2 linked regions of the Macaca mulatta genome follow. The protein of the gene in region 2 purifies or fractionates together with the protein of the main gene of each other region. This does not show direct contact. Links are inferred from orthologs where the notes say so. Each region holds a gene or a part of one and is shown on either strand. Other genes may lie near its edges. The genes, in order: CUL1 and FBXO38.

Region 1 (15,560 bases), on a different chromosome or scaffold from region 2:
AAATATCATTACCCACTAAAACAAACACCAACTACTAATAACAAATCATTAGTGAACAAGACACAAAAAACCTATACCATGATTCCAATGTGGTTTATATAATTAGCAACAGTGCCCCAGGCTTGTAGGTTTATGTTATTTATATTTTCCAAAAAGTCTACAGTTAATGTGTAATTTTGTTTTTCTGATTATAAAGCTATTTTAAAACAATAAATGCTGCTTCATATCTAATGTTCCACTAACACTGATAACTCAAGAACCTAAAGCTGGTGGAATATAGAACATGCAAACCAAACAGCACCACTTTTTCTGTTTTAAGTTAAAACTCTTTCTTGGAAGAACATAATCATCTCAGGCAGCAAAACATACTTTTACCCCTTCCCAGATGAAAGATCAGGCTTTGATGCCATTGCTGATTCATCCTCTGAGAGGCAAAGCTTTCCACCTCTTAGTCTACAGACCCTTCCTGCAGGGGCTGAGGGGCAGGAAGAGTGAACAGGTACCTAGGTGATTACAGAAACATTCATGGCCGAGGGGCCTCCACACTAGCTTATTTTATATATTGGCAAGGAAACCAAGGCTGTAGGTATTGTCATCAGCTTTCAGAAAGGACAGTCATTTAGGTGCTCTATTGATTCCAAGTCAAAGAGGCTCCTGCTCATCACTGCACTTGGCAGGCTGTTGTATTAGAACGCCAAGGTCAAATTCAAATGACTAAATAAAATACGTAATTAAAGATGGTCTTTATTAATTCAACGAGGATTTGTTCTCAGTAAAAACAAAAGGAAAATAAAACCCAAAAAAGATAAGCACATTAATGAAGTATGGTATTTTTTTTAAGTTTTTAAAAATTGACATTAGAAATCTTAGTCATACAGAGATTCTGTAGCTCAGATCAGTCTCAATTGTATGAGACAGTCAAATCTTTCAGAAACACTAACATGGTTCACTCTTCAAAGCCATCCTTGGAAAGACAAGCCAAATATTCCAGATGTTTCCTCTAAAACACTCCTAATAGAGAAAAGTGAACACAAACCCAGGGAATCTGAACTGCTCTCAACTGGCTAGACTTTGCAGAGTATTTCTTGAAGGGTCACGTTTTATCTCAATGTTGTTCTATTTCCTGATAGAATGTTTGCTGTAATGTAAACATAATTGCTCCCTAAGTTATTAAGTAAGATTTGCCACCCTTTATCCTGTGGTTTTGCATCCTCCCAGGCATACACTGGAGGTTTTGTGGGATATATATTTGTAATACCAAATACATTAGCCTTGCTCTTTGCCACACACCATTCTAAGCACCTTTTAACAAATAAATACCTCATGTTAAAATTTGTAAATACTAAAGCTCACTTAATCCGCATTATTACCTATTATTATTATTCACATTTTACAGATAAGGAAATTGAGGAACAGAAGCATTAAGGTTATCCCCTTAATAAATGGTAGGGTGGGGATTTAAAACTAGACTCATAGCACAGTTTGAGATGCAAGGCTATAGGATGAGAGCAGAATTACATGGTCAAATTCCAATCTTACGCTTATAGACTCTCTGCATTATCAACTTTCAGAATGTGATGGAAGTCGTGTTTGGTGTGATCCAGGTGGATTTGGGCCAAACCTTTAACTCCTCTAGAAATGAATCCCCTGTATGGGAACCAGGATGTAGGAAGCACACTGCTTCCTTGAAGGCAGGGCTCATGCTGGATTGGACGCATCCAGGCCATTGGAAATCCTTGCTCCTCAACTGTCTTTGGTGTCAGGCCTGGTTTTCAAAACAGATTTACCTGTTCTGGGACTGCTTCCGTAGTTCTAGCCTAAAACACTGGTTTCCTTGCCCTAGAGCACTACTACTTCATCAGTGTGGACAAAGGAGATGACCACAATCCTCTAATAAACCCATAAAAAGAACAGGCTCGCACCACTGTCATGGATGTGCATCTGGATAAGAGGTCTTTAGGGACATAGTTTTAAAAGAATCACCACATACAGCAGAGTTTAATAAGAGAAGTGTTTAGGAATACAACACTGTCATATTAAACAATGAAATTACAGGCAATGCTAACATTCAAAACAGATTATGTTTCAAAAGTTCATTTGTTAGGCAGTTGTTTGAAACTCTGGGTGAGCTGGTTAGGTTCCAGATCAGCATACAAAAGTCAGTTTAGCCCACCATTATACACAAGGAACTATTAATATTCCCAGTATAATACTCTGAATAGTTCCGTTTTTGTTAAACTTTGAGATAGCAGAAATTTGTCAAGGACTTTCAACTTCAAACTTCTAAGCCCATTTATAACCACTATCTCCTATAGGAAAACACATTCAGGTCACCACAAACAAACCAGACAGAACTTTCTCTATGAGGTTAGAGCGGAGCTGTTGCTTTTAATTGACTTTCTATCTCAGTTTATGGAAAAGAGATTCCGCAGTCCATTCATGCTCCAAGTGAACAGGGAATAAAGGGCAAGCAGGTGTCAGGCTTGCAAAGATCCAGACTCCTGGAGATCTCCTAGTATAAGGGTCCTCAAATGCTGGGCTGGGGGCCAGTATGGCTCTGTGGCCTGTTAAGAACTGGGCCGCACCACAGGAGGTGACCAGCAGATGAGTGAGTATTACCACCTGAGCTCTGCCTCCCGTCAGATCAGGGCAGCATTAGATTCTCATAGGAGCTCGAACCCTGTTGTGAACTACGCATGTGAGGGATCTACGTTGTGTGCTCCTTTGATCTGAGATGGAACAGTTTCATCCCCAAACCATCCCCCTTCTTCCCCCCACCGCCGTCCGTGATGCCAAAAGGGTTGGGGACCACTGTCCTAGTACAGCTAGGTCAAGGGTCAGCAAACCGTAGCCCATAGGCCAAATTCGGCCTGCCTGCCTTTTTCTGTAAATAAAGCTTTATTGGAACCCGGCCACACTCATTGGTGTACATATCCCACTGGCTGCTTTGTGCTGCAATGGCAGAGTTGAACAGCTGCAAAAGAGATCACATAGCTCACAAAGCCGAAAGTATTTCCTATGTAGCCCTTTACAAGATAAGTTTGCTGACTCCAGACCTATGTCATTCCTTAGAGTCTAAATCCAGGATGTCTGTATTTCTTTTTTTTTTTTTTTTTTGAGACGGAGTCTCACTCTGTCATCCAGGCTGGAGGGCAGTGGCACAATCTCGGCTCACTACAACCTCCCCTCCCAGGTTCAAGTGATTCACCTGCCTCAGCCTCCTGAATAGCTGGGACTACAGGCATGCGCCACCACGCCCAGCTAAATTTTTTTGTATTTTTAGTAGAAACGGGGTTTCACCACCTTGGTCAGGCTGGTCTCAAACTCCTGACCTCAGGTGATCCACCTGCCTCGACCTCCCAAAGTGCTGGGATTACAGGCGTGAGCCACCGCGCCCGGCCAGGATATCTGTATTTCTAAAGAGAACAAAGAATAGTAATTCTACTAGATCTTTATTATCAGCGGGCCATGGTTACTCACATCTGTAATCCCAGTAATTTGGGAGGCCCAGGTGGCAGGATCACTTGAGCCCAAGAGTTTGAGACCAACCTGGGCAACCTATCTCTACAAAAATAAAACAATTAGCTGAGTGTGGCGGCTCATGCCTCTAATCCCATTACTTCTGGAGGTTGAAGTGGGAGGACAGCCATCCTCTCATATTAGAATTTAAATCCTGGTTTCAGAGGAACCTTTCCTCTAATATAATCCTGAAAGCTATGTAACAGATTCTTAGGGGTATTTTAGAAGCAAAAAAGGAGAAGCTTCAAGTTTGCAAATCTAAGAATATTTGTTTCTTAAAATTTTCTCATTGACGTGACTGTTATGCCCATTATATACAAATCCACATTCTAGGATAAACAGTTAAAAAAGTCATGTAGCTATTATGGTTATATCCTTAGAACAGCAAGGAGAACTCTTAGTCATGATTACCAAATTAATTTACAGAAGCTCCTTGGAGAATTAGGAGAAGCACTTGCACCTGATGAAGACACTATAGAAAAACAATGCCCAACAAATGACTTGTAAAGAAAGCTGTATATGCTAAAAAGAACTCACTTGAGTAGCAATGACTTTAACTTAAGTCTACTTAAAGTACTATATTGAAGCTTACCTTTTTCATATATTCAGTAACTGGGTTCTGCTGCAAGAATTCAGTACTCTCTCTGGTATAAAATCTCTCTGTGTCAGCCAAAAATTGAGATTCAAAGGATTCTTTATACACTGTTAACGTAGGGCCCTTTGCAAATGCATCATCTTCATTCAGCCCCAATTCCACTAGAAATGAATATGAGCTATATTTCAATTACCCTATTTTTTTGGTTATATTTCACAGAATATACTTAGGTGTAGCATTCAGTTTAAGTTATGTTTAAAAGGTAAATGTGAAATGGCAGGACATAAGTAACTCTTACTCACTAGTATTAAAGTACACTCTTTCAATAAAATAAAAAAGGAAAAAAATCCAAGATGTATAAAAAGCAAGTAATTCTGACCCATGGCCAGGTATGCTTCAAAATTATGATGAAGTTCCTTTAGAGAACTTTTATATTTCCAAAGGCAATAAAAATAACTAATTTTAAATTTGCAAAGAAATACAATGCTACCCAAGTTTTTAAGACATTGTATTACTTTATCAGTTTCTCAATCTCAATTTTTCAAGCTGATATAGATTTCTGGTTATCATTGAGCTCACACTCTAACATGTCCAGTAATCCACTACGAGACCAGAAAAGAAAATAATTAAAATGTCTATTTCATCAAAATTTCCTTAAGGCACACGGATCAAACAGCTTTTATGATGGATAAAAACAAAGTCACACTGACTTAAAAAGAAAGAGAAGTACCTTCGTAAATGCTAACAATGTCCTTTATAATATGAAAATATTTTAAAGTGAAATCTGTTAGAGCATTGTCATAATTGCCATTTGATGTGGAAACTTTGAATAAACTAAAGGGAAATTATTTACCGTAAGACTGTACAACTCCACTAATCAATCTTGTATTGATGGTTTCACCATTCCTTTCCTTTTCAATCAGCTTTAAAACAGCATTTGTTACCTTTAGAAAGGATGTAGAAAAATATTACACAGGTTATAGAATATGATATATATTACTACATATCCCTTAAACATTCACAGCCATTAAACAATGTAAGATGGGATAATCCAAAGGAGTGAGCAGACAAAGGCTAAGCAACGAAACTGTGAAGGGATTTTAAAAGGAACACGCACACGCACACGCTTACACCAGTAGGTACCTGTTTATTCAGTGGCCTGAACAGACAGTCTCTCCAAGTCACCAATGCAAGCTGGAGAAAAAAAAAGTACAAAATATCTATACTTTTACTATGTTTTTCCAAGATTGAAGTCATAGGAAATAATCTAAATCTCAAATTACTTCATCAAAATTTCTAGATTACAAGTTGGTCAAAATCTGCTATCATGACGAAATCAGAAAGCCACTCTCTAGAGTCAACAACTTCAAGAGGTATCCAAGCACAGACATTTGTCAGCTCAACTTCTTTATTTATATTTTCTTTAACTGTTGTTGAAAACAGTATAGGAAAAGTTTAAAAACCGTAATTATTTTTAGGAGTCTGTGATGTTACTGTAGGGTACACATTTAGGTCAAGCAGGTTTCCAAAAGGAAATGAACCAAGATCATCCTGATTCCTATACTAACAACTTTTGAGTCTCAAGAAAGCATTTATATGTGAAAAAGAAAAAAAATCCCATTAGCTATTCCACAATACACACATATTTCAAAAAGGCATGGTGTACACATTTTTGTCAGTTAAAAAAATAAACAAAATGTTAAAGGGGAAGCACAAAAACCCCAAATCAAACAACTAAACCTAGAAAGTTTTGTTAGAACCAGACTAACTACATAGCAAAGTATCATTATGAACCAATTAACAATTTTGGTATAGAAACTGGAGTTACACAAACAATAAAAACAAGTCATGCATCTGGGATACATTATGCTTTTCTTTCTTTTCTTTTTTTTCTTTAGACAGGATCTCACTCTGTCCAGTGGTACGATCATGGCTAACTGCACCCTCCACCTCCTGGGCTCAAGCGATCCTCCTACCTCAGCCTCATGTGTGGCTGGGACTATAGGTGCCTCACCATGCCTGGATACATTTTTTTGTACGTCTCATTATGCTGCCCAGGCTGGTCTCCTGTCTCGGTCTCCCAACGTGCTAGGATTACAAGCATGAGCCACTGCAACCAGCATTATGTTTTTCTTTTAAATTTGTCAAAAGTGAAGCTACAAAGTATTGCTATTATAGCAACATTCTTGGATATGGTGATTAACTTCTTTATGTAGAATCTGACATTTTAACAAAACTAGTTTTAAAGGGCATTGCCTGTGTTGATCACGAACAGACTGTTCTGAGTCCTCCCTTAATTGCTCTAGAACACTGGTTCTCAAACTGGAGCATGCATCAGAATTGTCTGGAGAGCTTCTGAGTCCTCCCTTAATTGCTCTAGAACACTGGTCCTCAAACTGGAGCATGCATCAGAATTGTCTGGAGAGCTTGGTAAAACATTGCTGGGCCCCATCTCCAGAGTTTCTCCTTAAGTCTAGGATGAGGCCTAAGAATGTGCATTTCTAACAAGTCCCCAGGTGATGCTGACAGAGCAGGTTTGGGGACGTGATACGGTTTGGCTATGCCCCCAGCCAAATCTCACCTTGAACTATAGCTCCCATAATTCCCACATGTTGCGGGAGGCACTCAGTGGGAGAGAGCTGAATCATGGGGGTGGTTCCCCCACACTGTTCTCATGGTAGTGAATAAGTCTCACGAGATCTGATGGTTTTATAAGGGTTTCTGCTTTCGCTTGGCTCTCATTCTGTCTTGCCTGCCACCATGTAAGATGTGCCTTCTGCCATGATTATGAGGCCTTCCCAGCCACGTGGAACTGTTGAGCCCATTAAACTTTTCTTTATAAATTACCCAGTCTCAGGCAGTTTTTTATCAGAAGTTATGAAAACAGACAAATATGGGACCATACTTTGAAAGCCAATGGACAAAAAAACCCCTTTTGCTGACTGAAGCAACATATATTAATGAGAGTGATTTAGTAATTAATTCAGGGTCCTCTCCCTGAAGCAGGGTTTACCAGGCTATAAAGTATGGGAGGGCTAATCCTCAGGGCTCGCCCTCAGGTATGGCACCTGATTTGCCTGGGACTGCCACGACTCAGGACTTTCAGTGAGAAAACTCAGGCAGTTCCATGCCAATTGTGATGGTAGGGTCAGGTAATTAAAGAAGAAATTTTTAAAAAGCAAATGCAGAAATGGACAAATTGTATTTTAGAACTCCAATTTACCCATTCCTCTACTTTCTTGCTAAAAAATATTTAAGGGACATTTATTGATAAAACAATGAAAATTAGTTTACTACTCTGAAAAAAGCTTAATATTTGCCTAGATTCTCTTACTAAAAGACAATTTATCATTTTAAAAAAACACATTTAAAACAAAACTCTTACTGAATAGATTTCATATATTCCTTTTCGTCCTTCGTCACATTCACGGCGAACCCAATGTCTATTGAGGTAGGCACAAATTCCATTCAGTACTTTGCTTGAAAATCGATAATCTTCCCATTGTTGAGTGTAGAATTTCAGTACACTCTCATCCATCAAATCTTCTCCATCCTAAAAACAAGTTAACTAAAGCTTTAAGATGACTAATTTGTCACATTATAAATTAAAAATAAAAGTGAGTAACATCTACTGTATTAAAATACATTGATACATGTGATTTTAGATGGCTTCTTTAAATTATTCTGTATACAAAAACATGCTAATAAACTCACAAGAATATAGTAAAAACAATTCTTTCATCTCAAATTAAACAGGAACATTTTTCATGGTATTAAATATCCACAAACACTCAAAAAAAGTACCCTGAACATTTGATATGCAGGTAATTCCTTTTTATTAAGAAATTTACCTCAAAATCATCTGTATTTTTAATATTTTGTTTAAAAAAAAAATTGGCCAGGTACAGTGGCTCACACCTGTAATCCTAGCACTTTGGGAGGCCAAGGTGGGCAGATCACTTGAGGTCAGGAGTTCAAGACCAGCCTGGCCAACATGGTGAAACCCTGTCTCTACTAAAAATACAAAAGTTAGCTGGCCGTGATGGTGCATGCCTGTAGTCCCAGCTATTCGGGAGGCTGAGGCAGGGGACTCGCCTGAACCCAGGAGACGGAGGCTGCAGTGAGCCAAGATCCTACCACTGCACTCTAGCCTGGGCAACAGAGCAAGACTCTGCCGCCCCCCCTCCCCCGCAAAAAAGAAATCAAATCAACATGTCCTACTCAGCAATTCAGACAACGAGGCTAATACTATTCAATTTTTAAATGTATCTTCTTCCTTCTTAAGAACCACAAAACACTTTTTTGTGGTAATCTGTAAAAATAATGTGAGTACGATAGTATAACAATACTTCCTCTTTAACAAGCCCTCATAAAGAAAATGTGCATTTACCAAAATTATTTTTATCCAGATTTCTACAACTCGAGTCACGAATTTTTATTTGAAGGAGACTAGCTTGAAATTTTTTCTTAGGGATTAATGGCATCTACAAAGTAAGCTTTACCCTTTAAAAACGTTAATGGCGGCCGGGCGCGGTGGCTCACGCCTGTAATCCCAGCACTTTGGGAGGCCGAGACGGGCGGATCACGAGGTCAGGGGATCGAGACCATCCTGACTAACGCGGTGAAACCCCGTCTCTACTAAAAATACAAAACTTAGCCGGGCGCGGTGGCGGGCGCCTGTAGTCCCAGCTACACGGGAGGCTGAGGCAGGAGAATGGCGTAAACCCGGGGGGCGGAGCTTGCAGTGAGCTGAGATCTGGCCACTGCACCCCACCCTGGGCGACTGAGCGAGACTCCGTCTCAAAACAAAAACAAAAACAAAAACGTTAATGGCACTGTATGGCAGCACTGCCATTTAGGTGTGTGGAGCAGAGAAGCACGAAAGAGGAAGGTGGGGGCGGAAGGGCTGCAGGAAGGGCTGGGGCGAGCCCACTGGCTTCTCTGAGCCTCAGTGTCTTCAGTGAAAACTAAATGGCTACGACAGACTTGAAGCTCCACCTGTATAAGGTACACGAGTGACCGAACAAGCCATGTAAAAACCTGATCATCTCTTGACACACATAATTTTTTGTTCATTTAAATTTAAGTAATATGAAATGAACTTTAAAATGTAAAGCTAAGCTATTTTGGTTGATGGTAGCTGACCTTTTTAAAATGCAAAAATATCACTGAAGGCATGGTCATCAACATGATTACTTAGCACAATATACTGTTTCTTACTTTAGTACTAAAGAATAATTAATTAGAACATTCACTTTACAATGTGTTATGAATAAAAAGAACAGTGGCTTCAGCAAGACCTTAGAAACACCATGTGAGGAAGACGAAAATAATACACTAGTCACAACTTGTGGCCAGCCAATTACATACAGTCTGTTAGCATGATGTTTTAAAGTCTTCAATTAGCTTGTAAAAATAAATTAGGTAAAACAATTTTGCAGCATGCAGAAATTTCTGCACATCGTGTAAATCAAAACTATTTAAAATATATACACAGAAGAGTTCCTGCAAATGTCCCTGGGTTGAGAGTATAGATGTCTTCACTCTGTGACAGTGTAGAACCAGACGAAGGACCCACTCGCTCATCTTGTGGCTAGATACAAGGAGTCACACTGCCTTTGCTACAAAGGATGAAGACCAAGGAAGAAAAAGGCGGGAGATGAACGGGAAAAGACTCCACCACTGCCCAACCAAAGGCTTGGAGTGGGAGGGACCTATGCTAGAAGGAAATGGATATTCACAGTGAAACTCATCCTAGTCACGAGCACAACTTCACAGCAGTTTTGAAATACACGTCATGGCCAGGCACTGTGGCTCACACCTGTAATCCCAACACTTCGGGAGACGGAGGCAGGAGGACTGCTTGAGCCCAGGAATTGGAGACCAGCCTGGGCAACATAAAGAGACCCTGATTCTGCAAAAGATTTAAAAATTAGCTGGGAGCTGGGTATGGTGGTACATACCAGTAATCCTAGCTACTCAGAAGGCTAAAGCGGGAGGATTGTTTGAGCCCAGGAGTTGGAGGCTGCAATGACCTATGATTGGACTACTGCACTCCAGCCTGGGTGACAGAACAAGATCCTGTCTTTAAAAAAAAAAAAAAAAAAAAAAGGGAAAAGAAAAGATAAAAAAAAAAACAAACTTCACAACCATGTGTAAAGAGCAAGATCACATTTGAAAAAAATGGTTTCCAAGACTGAATAACCTTACAATTATTTATACACCTGACAGGGAACCCCACGTTGGGTTTACAGTAAATGCAGGTAACATGAATATGTATTTGCTTTAAATAAAAAAGTTAATCACTTCTAACCACCAAATCCAAAATGGTTGGTAACTTAAGGAAGGTACTATTATGCTAAAAGGTTATCAAAGCTTTCTAATTTTAAAAAACAGAATGAGCTGGGCACAGTGGTAAGAATTTGCAGAGTCTCAGCTACTCAGGAAGCTGAAGTGGAAGGATCACTTGAGCCCAGGAGATCAAAAATCCAGCCTAGGCAACATAGTGAGATCTCCATCTCGAAAAAACAAAACCCCAGAATATACTTTATGATGATTTCATATTCACAGTAGGTAAAAGACTATGCAATAGCAAAACACTGTCACCCACATTAGTGTCTAAAACATAACAGATGACAGTGAAAGATTTAACAAGTTAGAACCACTATTTCACTCCTTTTTTAAATATCCTGTTATGAATACTCAGTATATATGTGAAACATCTTACCTTAAGAAGATTTGTCAAGTAATTCTTCAAAAATTCCTTAAGTCGTTTATACAATTCCAGGCCAACAAACTGAGCTCCTCCAGGTGTCTGCCCCTTTTTCGACTTAGAAGGAGGAACTCCAGCTCCTCGTGCTTGGTTTGACTGGTGAACACTAGTACAGTAGTTATAAACATGACTTGGAGAGAAGTTAAGGAAACCAACATATATCACAGACATTAACGGTCATTAACATAAACATATTTTCTTATATTTCATTACCAGTGCATTCCCAATATATCAACCAAAACCTGTTAAAAACTAGAGTGGAACAAAGATCCCATTCACACTATCCATAAAGCTAAAGGCAACAAGCCCCATTCACAAGGTTCTTGGTAGGCCTTGAGAGCAATGCCGCCAAGGTGGAGAAGGGAACATTCCAGGAGGGAGGCTGCCAATAAAAAAATCTGGACCTTTTACATTATCTAATGTGACTGACCTTGTGGAAAACTGTCCCAAAAGGAAAATGCAATCACTGTCTCCTGGAAAAGCAAACAGCTAACAACAAGCACTGTCTATTATGATGCTCAGCTGTAACTTTTTCAGAGGCACACATTCTAAATATTGAAATAACACAAACTTTATTTTAAAATGACTTAGAGAGCCAAGTCCTTATATTACAATAGTCGTAGACGTCTAAAACTTATCAGTCAATGGCAGCAGTGTCCACACACTACTGAGAAATACAGAGATGTATAAACCACAGCAGAGACAGCTGATTGCAAAACAGCTGCGTCTGCAGGGGGAGCACAGAGAATGAGAAGATGGGGACGGGCAGGGCAGAGAACCACCATGTTCTGTTGTATCCTTTAAATACGATGAGCTTATCTGCATGTATTATTAATTGACTAAAATGAACGGAAAGATACTTATACTCAGAAATATCAACAAAACAGAACAAAACAATATTCTGGTATAATTAAGAATTTACTACATAAAGATACTTCAAGACAATGGGTAAAAGATTATCTAATAAATGGCATGAGGCAAGATATTTCTAAATATTCCATGTTATATTCCAAAATATATTACAAATGGATTAGGATTTAAAATATACAAGCTAAAACAGTAAAACCAAGAATATATATGTGAACACTTATCTGTTCTCAGGTTGGAGTGGCCGTTTCTAAGTAAGGTCATACAAAAAAATGAATTCAGGCCGGGTGCGGTGGCTCACGCCTGTAATCCCAGCACTTTGGGAGGCCGAGATGGGGGAATCACGAGGTCAGGAGATCGAGACCATCCTGGCTAACACGGTGAAATCCCATCCGTTTGGGGTCCCTGACTTCCCACAACATGTCTCTACTAAAAACACACAAAAAAATTAGCCGGGCATGGTGGTGCGCACCTGTAGTCTCAGCTACTCGGGAGGCTGAGGCAGGAGAATGGCGTGAACCCAGGAGGAGGAGGTTGCAGGAAGCCGAGATCGTGCCACTGCACTCCAGCCTGGACGACAGAGCAAGACTCCGTCTCAAAAACAAAACAAAACAAAACAAAAAACAAAACAGAGAATCACAGATTACAATAAGCAACTACTGTATACTCATGACCCAGTTTTGACAGATCTTACTGCGTTCCCACACTTGTCTCATATTTCACCTACAGTCCCCCTCAACTTTTGAGAAAATAAAATATTACAGGTTATAAGTGAAGCACTATGTTCTCTTCTTTCATCCCACTCCTTCCTCTTACCCTAGCAAACACCACCATGTTTGGGTATGTATCATTCCTGTTTTTAGATTTTGCTGGATAAATATATATCAAATATATTTCACATGTCCTACATTTTGTTTTGTTTTTTTTTTTGAGATGGAGTTTCACTCTTATTGCCCAGGCTGGAGTGCAATGGTGTAATCTTGGCTCACTACAACTTCCGCCTCCCGGGTTCAAGCGATTCTCCTGCCTCAGCCTCCCAAGTAGCTGGGATTACAGGCAGGCGCCACCATACCTGGCTAATTTTGTATGTTTAGTAGAGATGAGGTTTCTCCACGTAGGTCAGGCTGGTCTCAAACTCCCAACCTCAGATGATCTGCACGCCTCAGCCTCCCAAAGTGCTGGGATTACAGGCGTGAGCCACCGTGCTTGGCCATGTTTTACATTTTTAAATTACACAAACTCTAACATGTACATTTGCTCTGTCATTTGTTTTTGATGGTATTTGACATAGCCACAGCTGTAATACACTGTGTAACACACATTTATAAAACTTTATCAACTCTCTTGGTGGTGGACCTTGATAATGGTCCTTTTGGCAGGTGCCTTTTTTGTGTGTATTTACAAAGCTGCAAAGAATAAAACTAGCAGGTCTCCTTGCATACATGTACAAGTTTCTTGGAGCACATAAATACTAAGTGACAAGAGACTTATATTCTTTCTTTTTTTTTTTTTTTTTTGAGACAGAGTCTCACTCTGTTGCCCAGGCTGGAGTGCAGTGATGCGGTCTTGGCTCACTGCAACCTCCCGGGTTCAAGCGATTCTCCTGCCTCAGCCTCCAGAGTAGCTGGGATTACAGGCACCTGCCACCATTCCCAGCTAATTTTTGTATTTTTAGTAGAGACAGGATTTCACTGTATTGGCCAGGCTGGTCTTGAACTCCTGACCTCAGGCAATCCACCTGCCTCGACCTCCCAAAATTGCTAGGATTACAGATGTGAGCCACCTTGCCAGGCCCTTTTAAACAATTTTTTTGTAGAGATGGGGTCTTGCTATGTTGCCCTGGTTGGTCCAAAACTCCTGGGCTCAAGCAATCCTCCTGCTTTGGCCTCCCAAAGTGGTAGGTTTAACTTTATTAAGAGTTGCCAACTTGGTGCTACAAAGCGGCTGTCCGGCACCCTGTAGTGCATGAGTTTTCATTGACTACAACCTTGGCCATGCATTCATACTGTGGTTTATCATGGTTTTAATATCCATTTCTAGGGCATAGGCAGAGTTTTTTTTTTTTTTTAAGAGACAGGATCTCACTATGTTGCCCAGGCTGGAGTGCAGTGGCTATTCACAGACATGATCATAGCATGCTACTGCCTCAAACTCTTGGTCTGAAGTGATCTCCCACCTTAGCCTCCTGTGAAGCTGAAAATTCAGGCACATGCCACCACATTGGCTTGACTTAGCACAGTTCTTTTAAGGGCCTTAGGATTTTCAGAATGGTAAGTGAACACTCCTTTCAACAAAGTCACCAGCTACATTTACCCCTAAGAGAGTCAGCCTGTCCTCTGAAGCTTTGACACAAGCATTAACTTCTCTCTAGCCATGAAAAAAGTACCAGGTGGCATTGAATACTATGCAGCCATAAAAAAGGATGAGTTCAGGTCCTTTGCAGGGACATGGATGAAGCTGGAAACCATCATTCTGAGCAAACTATCACAAGGACAGAAAACCAAACACTGCATGTTCTCACTCATAGGTGGGAATTGAACAATGAGGACACTTGGACACAGGGCAGGGAACATCACACACCGGGGCCTGTCATGGGGTGGGGGGCTGGGGGAGGGATTGCATTAGGAGAAATACCTAATGTAAATGGCGAGTTAATGGGTGCAGCAAACCAACAATAGCACATGTATTCCTATGTAACAAACCTGCACGTTGTGCACGTATACCCTAGAACCTAAATTAAAAAAAAAAAGTCCTAGGTGGCATCTCCTTCCAATAGAAGGACGTGCAGTGGGAGTCGGGGCACCAGCAGGGCAGAAGGCCTTGGGGGTGCAGGCTGTGTGGGGACGGTGAGACTTACAGAGCGAGCTGCTGCTGAGTGTGTGACCCTCCTGGGGGCAAGAGGCCTCCAGAGTGTGCAGGACGTGAGAGGCTCTAGTTTCTGTGTCAAGAGGTCCAAGGAAGGCTTATCACCAGGCTGAGGCTACAAGGACACAAAATTTTAAGACTCAAAATTTTAAGAATTGGCAGCACTTTGGGAGGCCGAGGCAGGCGGATCACGAGGCCAGGAGATCAAGACCACCCTGGCTAACACGGTGAAACCCTGTCTCTACTAAAGATACCAAAAAATAATAATAATAATAATAATAATAATAATAGCTGGGCATGGTGGCGGGCACCTGTAGTCGCAGCTACTTGGGAGGCTGAGGCAGGAGAATTGCGTGAACCTGGGAGACGGAGCTTGCAGTGAGCTGAGATTATGTCACTACACTCCAGCCTGGGTGACAGAGTGACACTCTGTCTCAAAATTAAATAAATAAATAAATAATCTGTTGCTTACACAGCCACCTTCATCAATGATCCTAGATTTCTGGCTAATTTGCTGTCCTCCATCGGCACTCGCTGCTTCACCTTGCACTGTTATAAAAGATGGCTTCTTTTCTTTAATCGCATGAACCAACCTCTGCTAGCTTCTAGCTTTCCTTCTGTAGCTTCCTCACTTCTCTCAGCCTTCACAGAATTGCAGAGTTAGGGCGTTGCTCTGGATTAGGCACTGGCTTAAGGGAACGCTGTGGCTGGTTTGATCTTCTATCCAGACCACTCCAACTTTCTCCTTATCAGCAATACGGCTGTTTCGCTTTCTTATCATTTGTGCTTTCACTGGAGCAGCGCTTTTAATTTCCTCCAAGAACTTTTCCTTTGCATGCACAATTTCGCTAACCTTTTAGCACAAGACGCCTAGCTTTTGGCCTGTCTCAGCTTTCAACAGGCCTTCCTCATTCAGCTTAATTGTTGCTAGCTTTTGATCTA
Region 2 (15,560 bases):
TGACAGTGAATAATAATGTATTTTAATTTTCTTCAAGTAGCCCTCAATTTTAAAATATTAAAATCAGTCCTAGAACATAGGCAGTCAGAGCTTTTTGTATATTCTAAATAGAAGTAATTGAATCATACAGAGCTAAACAGAACAAAAGTAAGCTTTCATGAGATACATTTGAGACCTTAATTGTGTGCTAGTTACCATAGTTGCATAAACTCATTGAAATAGATGAGTTTTATTTGAAGACTTTTTTATGCTTTGCAAACAGTAGTTCTGCCATATGGTGAAAATACTTTTCCCAGCTTCAATTGTAAATGTTTGATAATATCTTTTTTTTTAAATTGGTGGTAAGATATAACTTTACCATTCAGTACAGTGTGTAATTCAGCGGCACTAAATACATTCACCTTGTTATGCAGCTGTCACCACCAACCATCTGAACTTTTTCATCATCCCAAACTGAAACTCTGTGCCCATTAAACAGTATCTGCCTCCTATGACACCTTTTGTTCTGTGGCTTTTCATATTTGCAAAGTCAGATCTGCGTGTTTTCCTTTATGAGTTCATTTTTATACTGTGAAAGGCCTTTCCTACACTTGGTTCAGATAATTGTGCCCATCTTATTCCTTTATTCATTGATTTCGGTTTAGTTCCTTCGTTCAGTTGGAATTTTATTTCAATCTGTGGGAACTAATATTAAATTTTTATTCCAAACTATCACCAGCTTGTTTCAGTACTGGTTATGGATGTCCATTCTTGTGCTATTATTTTGAAACGCTCTTTTCTCATCTACTAAATTCTTAGACATACTTAGGTTAATCTCTGGTCGTTCTATTCTGTTCCAGTGTTCTGTCTTCTTTCATTATTCTTTTTCAAAATTTCCTTGACTAGCCATGCATTTGCCATTTATTTTTATAGATATGCTTTGTAATATTTTTATCAAGTTCCAAAAACTAATCTTGCTTTTTGTTTGAAATTGCATTCAATTGATAACTGAAACATAATTGTCATTTTAACAGCACTGAGTCTTCCTGTTTAGGGACTGTTATGTTTGCCATTTTACTTACATGTCTTGATAAAATTTTTTCGTTTTTTGTTGTTTTGTTTTTAATACAGAACCTTCATATTAACCATTGAAGTTTTGATGTTATTTTTTGCCTGGTGTTCTGCTTATCCCTTAACTATTCTGACTTTTTTCATGTCTAGAACTTTTTTTAAGTTAAATCATTCTCTGGATTTAAAATAAAGAAAATATTTATGTAGTGCTTCTTATTGCATTTATTATGTGATTTTTTTTTCAATTTGAGAAGACTTCTAATGTCTGTAACATGGTTATAGTAGGTAAATTATTTGCTAATATATTTTAGATTTATAAAAATGTCTATTTACTTTGAATAGTAGTTTTTTGGGGTAGATATCAAAGTACTGATTTTAATATTATTATAGTCCCTTTTGGAAAGGACAAGAAGTTATTTGGGTGGCTTACAAATTATTATTATGATTATTATTATTATTTTTGAGATGAAGTCTCACTGTGTCACCCAGGCTGGAGTGCAGTGGCGTCATCTCAGCTCACTGCAGCCTCTACCTCCCGGGTTCAAGTGATTCTCCTACCTCAGCCTCCCGAGTAGCTGGGATTACAGGCGCCTACCACCATGCCTAGCTAATTTTTGTGTTTTTAGTAGAGACAGGGGTTCCCCATGTTGGCCAGGCTGGTCTCGAACTCATGACCTCAGGTGATCCACCCACCTCAGCCTCCTAAAGTGCCGGGATTACAGGCATGAGCCACCGTGCCCAGCCCAAATTATTTTTAATCTGGCATGTTTTTTAAAGAGAAAAATCCAAACTAATAAAGGAAGAAACTTGAATGTTAAAGATTTTTAAAAATCAGTTCAAAAAAAAGTAACATTTGAGATATTTGGTTTTTAATTTATGACCCTGTGGAGTATTAAAGCCATTTGAGAAGCTAATATAATTGTTTTGTGAATTTATATTTTGGGAATAAATACCTGTAAGTTGCTTTTAATCCTCACTGTATAACAATTTATAAAGTAAATATTAGAGAAATAAATAATTGGATTGTCAAAGAATAACATTTAAGATTAAAATAGTTGCTATAAATGTTGAACACTTTCCCTGACACCCCAAGACTGGATTGATCTGCCTTTCTCTGTTTCTGTAGCATCTTCAACATTAATGTGAACCACACTCTGTTGTAATTTCTTGTTTTACTGTCTTCCTTCTGGTAGACTGTGAGCTCCATGAGAACAAGGACAGTCTCTGCTTTTTCACCAGTATATTTCTATCCTTTAGCACCATGTCTTACACATGGTATGGGGCTTAGATAATAACTGTGAACATAATAAGTATAGACATCATCATATGAGGTATTGTTGATGCTAGTGGATGTTTTGAATTACTAAAAAAATGTTCCTAAACAAAATTAATTTTCTCTAAACAGGGAGGGAGGCATAAGAGAATAACAACAAACACACAAACTTTTTTCCTTATGTATCAGAAATGTTTGTTTTTCAAGCTCATATATGTATAAAGTGTGACTTCATTTTATAACTTTTCTTAGAAAATGTAAACTACCAGTTTGGGTACCCTGGAGAGCAGGAAACTTTACCCAATTTTGAACTCCATACTCTGTTAAATTAAGGGGGAAGGGAGAGAGCAATCCAGGAAGGTGAGATACTTGAAAATCAGATCACAAAAGGAGATTACTGAGAGAAGATTCTTACTAGAACACTGTCATGTAGTAGTGGAAACAGGCTTGCTTTTTGTTTGTTCATTTTCATTTTTGTGGTACTGGGAGAGGGAGCTAGGACTTATTAGAGGTTTTAAAAGGTTTGTGAATTTTGGCTATCAGGTGAAATGTGCTGCCTTTAGAAGGTTCCTTGTCAATGAAGATGATTTGATTTTGGATGAAGTTCCTTCAGGATACTGTGGGAGAAGGCCTACATTGTGTTGTGTGGTTAGTAGTCTTCATGTTTTGTTGGAACTCCAGAATTTTGCTTCGTTTCAAGGTCCTTGGAGGAAGTTTGATGGGTAGAGCTCTTGGGCTCCTTTTCGGCCTTCAGCCAAAGCAGCTGCTTTGAATTGTTTTACAGAGTAGAATTTCTACACCATTTCAATGGTGTAGAAAGGATTTTGTTGTGTAAAAAAATGTAAAAAAATCAGACTAAATCTCTACGGTTCCCATCTAAGCCCAAGCCTTTGGGAATTTGCAGTATTCGTTCTCATTTCTTTGTCTTTTTTTGTGATCTTTCATGTTTGAGATTACAGAATTACTGATATTACAGAATTACCAAGTGGAATGTTTATAATTAGCAGTACTATCTAAAAAAACAGTATGGTGGTAATTTAATTCATGATAGTCAGTTGTATTTAATTCTATATATGCTCTGCTACAGTATGATTAAGTATCAAAAACGAGAATGATGACTAATGTATTTTCTTAGAATATATATGTGCTTAAGTTTTAGCTATGAATTTAGCACTCGTTTTTAAATTAAATAAGGACAATATTTGCTTATTTCGAAGTGTATTGCTTCAGAACAGTACTAGTAAATAAGGGCCTTATTAACCAGGGTTTGACAGATGAAAGATTGCAGGTTTTCTAGCTTAGTAACTGGTCCTTGATTTCCTGGGTTTGACTCCTGGTTCCCATTTAGCACTGTGGCAAGTTTTTGTACCTTCCCGTGCTTCAGTTTCCTAATATGTAAAACAGGGAGAACAATAAATCCATCTCAGAGCTATTGTAAGGATTGAGTTAATACAAGTAAAACCCTTAGAACAGTGCCTGACACACAGTAAGCGCTCAGTAAATATTTGTTATTCTGTTTTACCTGCGGTGCATTCATTCATTCATTCATTCTGTAAGTGTTGATGCCAGTTCATTCAATAAATGTTCATATTATCTCATTGCTAGTGACTGACTTTGAAATAAAGATGAATTAAGAGAGTGTTGTTGCCTTTAACGAGCTTTTATGTAAATAGACCAACAAAACAAGTATAAAAGGAACTATTAGGGCAGTATGTAATGTTTGGGGATCAAGGGTGCTTTGTTAGAACTAAGTGTTTGAGTTGGACCTTTCCCAGATGGGTCGTATTTCAAAAACTAGGGTCAGAAAAGGTGTTCTGAGCAGAAGAAGCTAGAGCAATTGATGACTTCGGAGACATTAGCAGTGGGAGATGACTAGGGTATAGTGTGGAGAATGGGCAGAGCTGAAGCATAGCTCCAAATGTCAAGCATTGAAACATTCATTCAGCTTCAGTCAATAATTTAAAAGTTTTTTAGTAGGAAAGATAGGAGTTCAATTCACCAATAGTATTTAGGATGGGATGAGTCAGAGAGACTGGAAGTAGGAATGTTTATTAGATTATTAGGATGACCTAGGTATGAGAAGGGTTGTTATATTTGATGTAGATATGTTTGAAGTAATGGAGGGTGATGCTGTTTTGAAACAATCCATTGGAAATACCAATATAACTGTATTCCATTGGGAACCAAATTTTAGATTTGGGAATTGCCTTGATGGTGTTCATACATATGTGATTGAATGTGTTTGAGGTAAAGAAAGCAAGGCTAAAGTTTTGGTTTTTCTTCTTTTTTACCTTTTTTAGAAGTAGCCAAAACAAAGCCACGTCACGCCATGAAACGGAAGCGGACAGCAGATAAATCCACCAGTACAAGTGATCCTGTGATCGAGGATGACCATGTGCAGGTAGAGGAAAATCCGTCACTTACCTTTATCACAGTCTAGCCCAGTTCCTAAGTAATGCATGCAAACTAAAGTTTGTATCTTTATATAGTTTCTAATTTTTCTCCTTGTAGGTTCTTGTATTAAAATCCAAGAATCTCGTTGGAGTCACTATGACCAATTGTGGAATCACAGATCTAGTGCTAAAAGACTGTCCCAAGATGATGTTCATCCATGGTATGTATTTGGGCCCATATTATACACGAGCATCATGAATGAGTTAAAAGAATTAGGAACTCATAAATACTGTAATAACATTACCGTCTTATTTTCTTAAAGGAAATATTGTGTTGGGTTATCTTTAGTTCCACCTTTGTTCTAGTTCTCAAAGTATTACTCCATAGTATTTCTGAGCATCATGTAGAGAAACTTGGTTCATCTTTTAAAATAGCCTGTCTCCAAAAGATAATTACTGCCTGATCTGGCAGAGTAAATAACAGCCTGCATAGGCTTTGGAGTCAGATAGACCTCAGCTTGATTGCTGGCTTGGTCATTTACCAGCTGTGTGACTTGGACATGGTTTTTGAGGGAAGCGCCGACTGGGCCTCAAGTGTATAACTGCTCTGTATTTGATTGAGATGATTAATTGTATCTTTACTTCATGGCACATTATCGTTTATCCAAGCCCCTTTTTCTTTTTAGTCTCGTGTCCCTCATTGTTAATCTCATCCGCTCCCGCCATCTATACTCGTGTATTGAACATATATCTTTCCAGTGTACCTTTTATATCTTTCTTTATATATGTGTCTGTCTCAAACATAGGGTATTCATTTTTATGATTTCTTAAAATTTTAGTTACATAGTATATCCTATAATTGATCTATTAATTTTACCTTTTTATTCAAAATTATATTTTAGATACCCATCCATGTAAAATTATGAAGATCTGACTTATTTCCTTGCCTTGGGCAAGTTTTATAATTTTCTGTCTTCATTTTTTTCAATCTGTAAACTGTGCGTAATTATGCTTAACTCATAAAGCATTTGTGAAAGTTAAATGCAGTGATTGATATGTTTCTGTATGTATATGTATCCAGGCATACCTCAGAGACACTGCAGGTTTGGTTCTAGACCACCATTATAAAAGGTATATCACAATAAAGCGAATCGTATGAATTTTTTTTATTTTCCAGTGCATATAAAAGTTACGTTTACACTATAGTCGATTAAATGTGAAGTAGCATTGTATTTTTTAAAAAAATTTATGTACCTTAATTTAAAAGCACTTCATTGGCTAGGCACGGAGGCTCACTCCTGTAATCACAGCACTTTGGGAGGCTGTGGCAGGCGGATCACCTGAGACTAGGAGTTTGAGACCGGCCTGGCCAACATGGCAAAACTCCGTCTCTACTAAAAATACAAAAATTAGCCAGGGGTGGTGGCTCATGCCTGTAATCCCAGCTACTTGGGAGGCAGAGGCAAGAGAATCGCATGAACATAGGAGGCAGAGGTTGCAGTGAGCCAAGATCATGCCTCTGCACTCCAGCCTGGACAACAGAGCAAGACACTATCTCAGAAAAAAACAAAATAAAATAAAAACACTTTATTATTCAAAGATGCTAACAATCACCTGAACCTTTAGCAAGTCATAATCTTTTTGCTGGTGGAGAGTCTTGCCCAAATGTTGAGGGCCTTGCCCTGGGTTAGGCTTTGGCTTAGGGAATGTAGTGGCTGGTTTGATCTGTCTAGACCACTCAGACTTTCTCCATATCAGCAATATGGCTCTTTTGCTTTCTTACCATTTGTGGGTTCACTGGAATAGCACTTGTAATTTCTTTCAAGAACTTCTCCTTGGCGTTCACACCTTGGTTAACTGGCACAAGAGACCTGGCTTTTGACCTATCTCAGCTTTCAGCGTGACTTCCTCATCAAGCTTAATCATTGCTATCTTTTTATTTTAAAGTGAGATTTGTGACTCTTCCTTTTGTTGGAACACTTGGAGGCCATTGTAGAGTTATTAATTAGCCTAATTTCAACATCATTATATCTCAGGGAGTAGGGAGACCTGAGGGAAAGGGAGAGACAGGGGAACAGCCTGTTGGGGGAGCAGTCAGGACATACACAACATTTATGAAGTTCACTTACATTGGTGCAGTTGGTGGCACCCCACAATTAAAATAGTAACATCAGAGATCATTGATCACAGACCATCATAATGGATAAAATAATAATGAAAAAGTTTGAAATACTGCAAGAATTATTAAAAATGTAACACAAAGACTCAAAGTGAGCACATGCTTGCTAAAAAAATGGCATTAGTGGACGCTCAATTCATGGTTGCCACAGACCTTGTGTAAAGAATGCAATGTCTGTGAAGCACAATAAAGTGCAATATAATGAGAAATGCCCATATATGTACATATACATGATATATGCACACACCCACACACACAGTACAGGGTCTGACCTCTAGTAATGCCTAGTGATGTTATTACACGTTGAGCATCTCTAATCTAAAAATCAAAATGCACAAGTGCTTTAAAATTCAGAACTTTTTGAGCACTAACATGATGCTAAAAGGAAATGTTCATTGGAGCGCATTTCAGATTTCAGATATTTTTTATTAGGGTAAGTATATAATGTAAATACTCCAAAATTTGAAAAAAAATTTGAAATCTAAAACACTTCTGATCCCAAGTATTTCAGATAAATGTTAGTCAACCTGTATTGCAAAAAATATTAAGAGGTTTATTTTGTTTTGTTTTACGTCTCCTACCATATTAGTGGTAAACAAAGAAATCCCGTTAAAAGGTATTTACCAAACATTTTGTCATAAAGTAAGGAGAATCCAAGAAAGGAGAGATGAAGCTGAGATTCAAGCACTACTCTGAATTCTACAAAAGTTCAGACCTTTGGGACCCCAACTCTATTGTTTACTCTGAAGAAATAGTACTTTTCTCTATCTCAGCCAATGAGGTCTTTGGTCCTAAAACATCTTAAATCACTGTCTCCTATTGGAGTTTCCTTCTACAATAGAGAACACAGGCTCTTCAAAAGCTCAGAGTTCATAACAGTAGGGGTACTCACCCTAGCCTTTCAGTAGCACTGGAAGAACTTTCATTCTGTCAGTCCCTACACCCTTTGAGCTCTGAGAATGTAAAACTCAATTTTCGGACTCTGCCGGTTGGCACCTCATTCCATTCCTTTCTCTACTCTGAGCTCTCCAAGAATCTGACTGGTTTTCTTCTTTTTACTTTGATGATTCTTCCTGTACATTCTCTAACCTAATGATGGATCACACGGCCTCAGGCCCAACCTTCTCCCCTTTAAACCAAATTGTTTGGCTCAGCTTATCATGGGGAGAGGATCTTAGCTTAGTCTGTAGATAGTGGCTAAGTTAATGACGGAGGAGATGATTAAATGAGATTAGAACTGACCTTAGCCATGTCTGATTTTATAGCTAGCAACCATTGGATCCTTACTGTCATCTAGCGCTTTCCTTTCCTCTGTTGCTGTCCTCAACACCAATTCCCCTCCTTTCCACCATGTCACAGAAGGAGAAAATGAATGTGAGAGGCAGGAGTCTCGCTCAGTGTTTAAATGTCAAGTTAGTTACGCTAGATTGCGCAAGACGATGATGACATTTGGGTCAAAGATGTTACAGAAGATGTCTGTGAAATGTTAAAAAGATCAGGCAAATCAGCCTGTGGTTTTATAATCTTTTCCATTTGATCTTCTCTCTCAAGTTGGACCTGGTTGCAGTCTGCAATGAAAATTGGACCAGGTTGAAATTTGAGATTAAAAAAAAGAGAAGGAAATATTTTTCTGAAGTTGGTATACTAGTTCAGTTAAATGTGTTTATTATATCAAAATTACTTTTTTCTGACTTCGTGTTTTATATATCAAACAGAAAAACTAATCATGTTTTAGACCAGCATTTCAGTAGAACTTTAATGTTCTGTGTGTACACTGTTCAGTATGATGGTAACCACTAACCACATGGCTACTGTATTGGACTGAATAGCTTTAGACCAAAATACCCAAATGTGTTTCTGGGTCTTTTTTTTCAAGGTTCTGCTTTTACATTTGTGACAGGAATTAAAATCCAACTCTGCTCATTCCTGAGAGTGAATGTAAGGTAATATAGGTGAATTATTTCAGGTCTGATTGTTAACTATAAAAATGTATAATAGTTATTCATTTTTTAAATAAATATTTCCTAAACAGTTTCTGTCTGGGCAAGTCATTTTCTAGGGCTTGGTTTTCTTAACAGTAAAAATCTTAGATAAAGGCACTTTAATGCACCCCTTCTACCTTCTTTTGAAGTAAACAGAACCACATTTTCAAATTTTTTTGTTAACTGCCATTTGTACTCTATGATATTATTTGACCTGTGTTAAAGATGTTTGTTACTGCAGTATTTTGTGCTAACAAAAATTAGGCCATCTCTCCAAAGATGATATGTATAGAGCTTACCATTGTTTTCATTTTGTAGCTACCAGGTGCAGGGTACTAAAACATTTAAAAGTAGAAAATGCACCAATTGTAAACCGATTTGACTACGCACAGTGCAAGAAACTGAACATGGATCAGGTACTAGACCAGATACTAAGAATGCCACCCGAGAGAAACCGCATCATATACCTACGCCCAATGCAGCAGGTAACGAGCTTTGCTCCTTTCCGATGATACACATATTGTGATTTTTTTTTTTTTTTTTTTTTAGTCTTTAGCCTTTTGGATTTGGCATTCGTTCACTTCCAACCTACAGTAATGATATTTTAGTTTTTACAAGTTATATGTGATGCAGGGAGTTGTTATTCAACAGGTTTTTATACTTATTAAAAGTTACTTGTGGTTAAGAACACAGTCTCTGGTTCAGACTGCCTGATTAAATTTCTGGCTGTCTGACCTGTAGCAGATTATTTGACTTCTATGTCTTAGTTTCTTCATCTGTAAAATTAGAATAATAATGGTATACCAAGGATTATTGTGATATTTAATATATGTGAAACTCTAAAACAGGTGCTAGTATATAGTAAGCCATCATATAACTACTATTAGTGTCATTATCATTATTAAGAGTATATTGTATATAAGGTTCTGTGCTTAATGCCAAAAGAGGGTTTAAAGGAAGTTTTAAATGCCCCTTTGTAATCAGTGTGTAAGCCTGGCCTCAAAAGAGTCAGTTCATCATATTGTCAAGTGTCTCAAAACTTACAATATGCCGGGTGCGAAAAAATACACAACACATGATCCTTCCCTCAAGGAGTTTGCCTTCCCAAAAGGGAGATAAACATATATGCCACTGAGATGGCAGAGTGAGATTTCATAACTAGAGATGGGAGAGGGGTATGCCATGAGAAAACAGCAATGTTATCAAAGGCTCCTAGAAGACAAGAGAATGCATTCTCTCTTAAAGACTGGGCAGCAGTCCCATTTCAATAGGGTATATGTTACTACACATTCACAGTTCTATAATGCAGTCAGTACTTAATAAAGGACATACCCAGAAGTAGATTCTGAGTTTACTGACATCATTTATCTCAATCAGGATTCTCTGGTTTACTAAGCATTTAAATATAACAGTGAGATATAAATTGCCAAGTTCCCTAGACAGAAGAGTTTGCAAAATTATTCCCAGCATGACAAACTGTTTTCAGGTCTGTATGTGACTATTTGATTTTCAAATCAACCAGAGATTTCAAAACGGAAGGTCCGTGGAAAGATTGTTGAAGCTCTAGCAGAGAGATTTCTAAGGCATTCTCTTTGTTGAAGGTGTCTCTTTATGATGTCTTCCGCAGGTGGACACGCTAACTTTGGAGCAGAAGCTGTTTAGTGGTCCCTACCCCTATCACATCTGTATTATCCATGAATTCAGCAACCCTCCCAATGTCCGGAATAAGGTGCGCATTCGCAGCTGGATGGACACTATAGCAAACATCAATCAGTAAGTAACTCTGTGGCCCCTAAAGGCCTTTTTAGTCATTTCTCATAGCAGGGACTCCCAGAAGCAAATCCCAATTTTTCTTTATTTTAAATGATTCCATCTAAGCTTTTCAGACAAGCTTATCCTGAAGTTAACATAAGTGAGAAACTGAGGGAAACGAGGACTTAAAAGTTAACATAAGTGAGAAACTGAGGGAAACGAGGACTTAAAACTAAAAAGCATATGTATATATTTATGATCTTTAAAACTCAGATAAAAATTACAAGAAAAAATTGTACATGTACTTGTAACATTATTTAGCCTTGGGGCATGAAAAAAGAGATCAATTTGAAGAAGATCTTAAGACTGATATTTTATATCATCAGAAAATTTGACTTTTGTATATTTGTTATATTAATGTTGCATTCAGCACCTTTTGTGTAGAAGACATGTGCTTAGAAAGTGACTTTCTTTCCCTGATATGATTTTGAAGATAGTGAAGAAAGTAGTTTTGACCTGACTACACTTGGATTCTCTAGTTTGATTGTATCCTACTTCTGTTAGGTATTTAATACTTTGTTTAAGATGTTTGGTAGAATCTGTGTCTGAAACAGTGTTGATGGTTCCTTCCTACCCGACACTCTAATTATTTCCAGTTTTGTAATTTTTACTTAATTTTTCCTGTTGCCTCCAGAGAGCTCATTAAATATGAATTCTTCCCTGAAGCCACTCGAAGTGAAGAAGACTTAAAGAAATACCCCAAGTACCCCTGGGGGAGAGAAATCTATACTTTAGAAGGTATTTACAAATATTTAGAAAGTTAAATAGCCTGTGCAGTAGCTTGCCCCTGTAATCCCAGCGACTCAGGAGGCTAAGGTGGGATGATCCCTTGAGCCCAAGAGTTCAAGACCAGCCTGGGAAACAAAACATGGCCCTTTCTCATTCACGAATGAATGAATGATCCATCAATCAATTAGTCAAACTGGTTTGGGCTTACAGCAAGCAGTAACCCAAATGTAGAGAATTATACTTTTTTAAAAAAGGAAAAGTTAAATAGCTATTAACTAGATGACTGGACATGCCTTAGGGAAGATATGAATGGGAGTCTTACAGTTCTTCAAAACATGGATGATTTTAATACCTGCAAGAAGTGGGAGCCAGATGAATATTGCTTTGCCTGTATGAGTCTTTACTATTTCTAGGACAATCAGAACCAGTGGTGAAACATAAAACATAAACAAAAATTACAAATTACTGTAGTTTGATAGCTGGAAATGATTTGAGGACACCTGACTCACTCTCTTTATTTTATATTTTACATTCTGCTTACAAAATACTGCAGAATTTGGCTCTATCAGCACTTCCACGCCAGTTAGCAATGTTACATTTGTCTTCTTTTAGGTGTTGTGGATGGAGCTCCATATTCCATGATTTCTGACTTCCCTTGGCTGAGGTCATTACGAGCAGCAGAGCCCAACAGCTTCGCTCGATACGACTTTGAAGATGATGAAGAAAGTAATTATGACCTGATTTGACATCTAATCTCTAGTTTAAGTATAGCCTACTGTGTTACATACTTAATATCTTTTTGTGAGTTAGGAGTAGTGCAGTGTTAAATGGTTTCCCATATAAATGTTTTTTATTTACTCACTTCAAAACAGTTCTTTATTTGTACAATAGATGTTCAGTAGACTTACTAGGGATATATAAAGGCTGGTAGAAAGGATTTCCTTGGACAGATTTTCCTGTGTGGAAACTTATAATTTAGGTGTAGAAATTTGGGGAGAAATTTTTGAATGTAGTTTCTCTAAGTGGTAGCATACTTGAATATTTATTGTTAACCAAAGTTTTAAGAAAATACTTTATAAGGAAATGGGTTTTATGAACTACATGTACACATGTCTGACTTACGTTTGGTATAGTATTTTTACCTTGAGACTTTAAGCATGTTCGCTGTCTTAGGCATCAAACATAAGAACAAACTGGTGGTGACCCATTCCTTGAGCTATTCATACATCAGTTACATTGTAGTGCAGTATATGGGAATATCCTATGGACCAGCTTATCAGTGATTTTCCAAATGATTCTGATTATCATATGTATCTCTCCTTTTATTTCTAATTTCAAAGGCACTATCTATGCTCCTAGAAGGAAAGGACAGCTGTCTGCAGACATCTGTATGGAAACAATAGGAGAGGAAATTTCAGAGATGCGTCAGATGAAGAAGGGTGTATTTCAGCGAGTAGTGGCAATTTTTATCCACTATTGTGATGTCAATGGAGAGCCAGTTGAAGATGACTACATTTAATTGGTCCCTCCTCCTTTCCAGCTATTTTGTCAGAAAGCAAGTAGGACCATCCAGCTGCCAGAGTGCTCCACAGAGACTTGAGGCATGCAGTTGGGAGGTCCTGGCTCAGTTTGCTATATAGGGAATGTATAAGGAACATCGAAATTGTATACAAAGATTTGTACATAAAAAATATACAAAGACGCTTCCTAAAGTACCAACTTTATATCATATGTTTATACAATTTAATTTAAAAATTCATTTTAATGAAGACAGATAATTTGAAAGACTTTTGTTTTTCTTGACTTAATTCATAAAGTATCATTTTTTGACTGAGTCTCCATTTACTTCATTCTTAATGATTATTGTCATCCCTTTAAATCTGTGCCTTTTTCTTCTTGAGCGAAGCTGTTTGAGTAAACCTGTTGAAGAGTGTTTGTGTCTTGTGTGCTTTTTTGTTGTTACTAAAACACCAACTAAACCTTATAGTCAGACAAGGCTATATATGTTTCTGTACAAAGCTGTAGTTCTTTCTTAGTATTATAGTTGCCATGTTTCTTAAAATCAAGTAAAAAGACTTATGAGCTTAAAAAAAAGTGAGTTTGAGAGGGAAATGGAAAAGTTTCCAAAGTATTTCTAGTAATTTATTTCCACATTGAATTGTGTATATGCTTTATCTTAAATATAAAATAAAAGTTTATTAAAAACTTTTCTCTTGCCTTGGACCTGAATCCCTCTTTTTAAAGAAGAGTAGCAAATACTGCTCAGAAAAGCAGTGTATATATAGAGTTGTATCTAAGTAAGATTCCAGTGTAATCCAATTTCTGATCTCTGAAAGTTTTTAGCTACAAGATGTTCAACTCACAGAACTTTTTTTGTTCGTTTGTTTTGGTTTGGTTTTTTTTTTTTTTTTTTTGAGATGGAGTTTCACTCTTGTTGCCCAGGCTGGAGTACAATGGCATGATCTCGGCTCACTGCAACTGCCTCCCGGGTTCAAGTGATGCTCCTCTCTCAGCCTCCTGAGTAGCTGGGATTATAGGCGCCCGCCACTATGCCTAGCTAATTTTTGGTATTTTTAGTAAAGGCAGGGTTTCACCGTGTTGGCCAGGCTGGTCTGGAACTCCTGACCTCAGGTTATCCGCCTGCCTCGGCCTCCCAAAGTACTAGGATTACAGGCAGAGCTCTTTAAGACAATACTGGGAACAGCAGAATTTTCCAAAATTCTGGTCATCAGGAGGTGGTCTTTCTCCCCTTTCAAGGTGAGGAATTAATTGCCCTGATAAGGCAATGATATACATAGTATTATAGTGTCAAGCAAGGGTTGTCAGCAAAAGCTTAAACACCTATATTTGAGTCATGGCTTTGTGACTTGCCAGCCAAGTGACCTCAGCAAATTACTGAAACTGAAGGCCTGTGGAAAATTTTTATAAATTTTCTCTAAATAGACATGAAATTATGGTCTAAGGTGTAAAGTTTCTTTGAGAATTGTTCAGCCCCTTCATTTAGAAGGTCTTAATTGGAAGCCAAGGGGAAAAATTGCTCACCCACGTTTAGGACCTGTTTTTAGGCTAGGTAGGACAATAATCCCAATTTCTCGTTCCAGCTAGGCTACCTCTGTTTTTCATGACAGAAATACAAGGATGCCAGCAAGTTTTTCTAACACTCAAATATTCCACGTTAATCAGTGTCTACCCTTCAAGTTCTCTTTTTTCCCCAGGCTCTAAAAATTCTCATTACATTAGGAAGAGTGATTCAATTAGGTACTTCATTCTATTGTCTCCTTATTACACTATTTTTAACTCAGCTAACTTATAATTAGACAAGTATGTTTCACTATACAGATTACAACTGTGGTAAGAGTCAGGAAACAAATTACAGAATATCCTAGATATTTCAAAATAATCTGGGATTCCCAACCCTGAGCGAAGATAATCTAGGTTTTCACTGTAACCTGTTAACCAAATTATCTAAATAATGCTAACATTAGCCACAAGAGGCCACTGCTTTGTAATTTTTGGCTTAGTCGTGTCTTTGTCTAACCTAACCTAAACTGTTAGATCAGTGGAAGTACAGCTGGCAGCGCTACAGTAATTCAAAAGAGGCTAAGACTGGAACAACCAAAAAAAAATCTGGAAGATGCCAACTACAATAGTCAGTCGGTGAATAGATATATAATACGAAGGGCTGGAGAGTGATCACTCCACAGCAAGGGTCAGCAAACTCTATCTAGGACCAGATAGTAAATATTTTAGGCTCAATGGGCCACATTCTCTGTGGCAACTGCACGACTATTGTGAAAGTCATAGATGATATAAACGAATGGGCATGGCTGTATTACAATAAAACTTTATGGACACAAATTTCAATTTCACATAATTTTCACATGTCACAAAATACTACTCTTATAACTCTTTCCCCAGCCATTTACTAAAGTAAAACACCATCCTGAAGGCTCACAGACCAGATTTGGCCCCCAGGCCATGGTTTGGCCACACCTGCCGTAGAAACCTGAGATATCCTATTCATTCATTTAATTATATCACCAGCTGTTGGTGCAGTTCTGTGCCTGGCACACTTTTTAAAGGCTCTAAAAATACTACATGGATGATATATGACTTAATAGCAGTGAGAGAATTGTGTCTCA

What was found.
Region 1: the proteins of FBXO38 (region 2) and CUL1 purify together in Homo sapiens (affinity purification with mass spectrometry; 4 studies listed by BioGRID, with this or other methods). This does not show direct contact. The link is inferred for Macaca mulatta from reciprocal best matches to the Homo sapiens genes FBXO38 and CUL1.

What each region holds. Positions count from the first base shown.
Region 1 is NC_133408.1:188,569,772-188,585,331, reverse strand, and holds part of CUL1 (cullin-1), read right to left. Parts: intron 11,017-15,560; coding exon 10,842-11,016; intron 7,668-10,841; coding exon 7,500-7,667; intron 5,309-7,499; coding exon 5,258-5,308; intron 5,059-5,257; coding exon 4,968-5,058; intron 4,276-4,967; coding exon 4,112-4,275; intron 1-4,111. UniProt on the Homo sapiens protein: Core component of multiple cullin-RING-based SCF (SKP1-CUL1-F-box protein) E3 ubiquitin-protein ligase complexes, which mediate the ubiquitination of proteins involved in cell cycle progression, signal transduction and transcription.
Region 2 is NC_133411.1:157,407,823-157,423,382, forward strand, and holds the end of FBXO38 (F-box only protein 38), read left to right. Parts: intron 1-4,623; coding exon 4,624-4,724; intron 4,725-4,834; coding exon 4,835-4,937; intron 4,938-9,195; coding exon 9,196-9,362; intron 9,363-10,504; coding exon 10,505-10,650; intron 10,651-11,323; coding exon 11,324-11,427; intron 11,428-12,030; coding exon 12,031-12,144; intron 12,145-12,758; coding exon 12,759-12,937; 3' UTR 12,938-13,351; downstream 13,352-15,560. UniProt on the Homo sapiens protein: Substrate recognition component of a SCF (SKP1-CUL1-F-box protein) E3 ubiquitin-protein ligase complex which mediates the ubiquitination and subsequent proteasomal degradation of PDCD1/PD-1, thereby regulating T-cells-mediated immunity.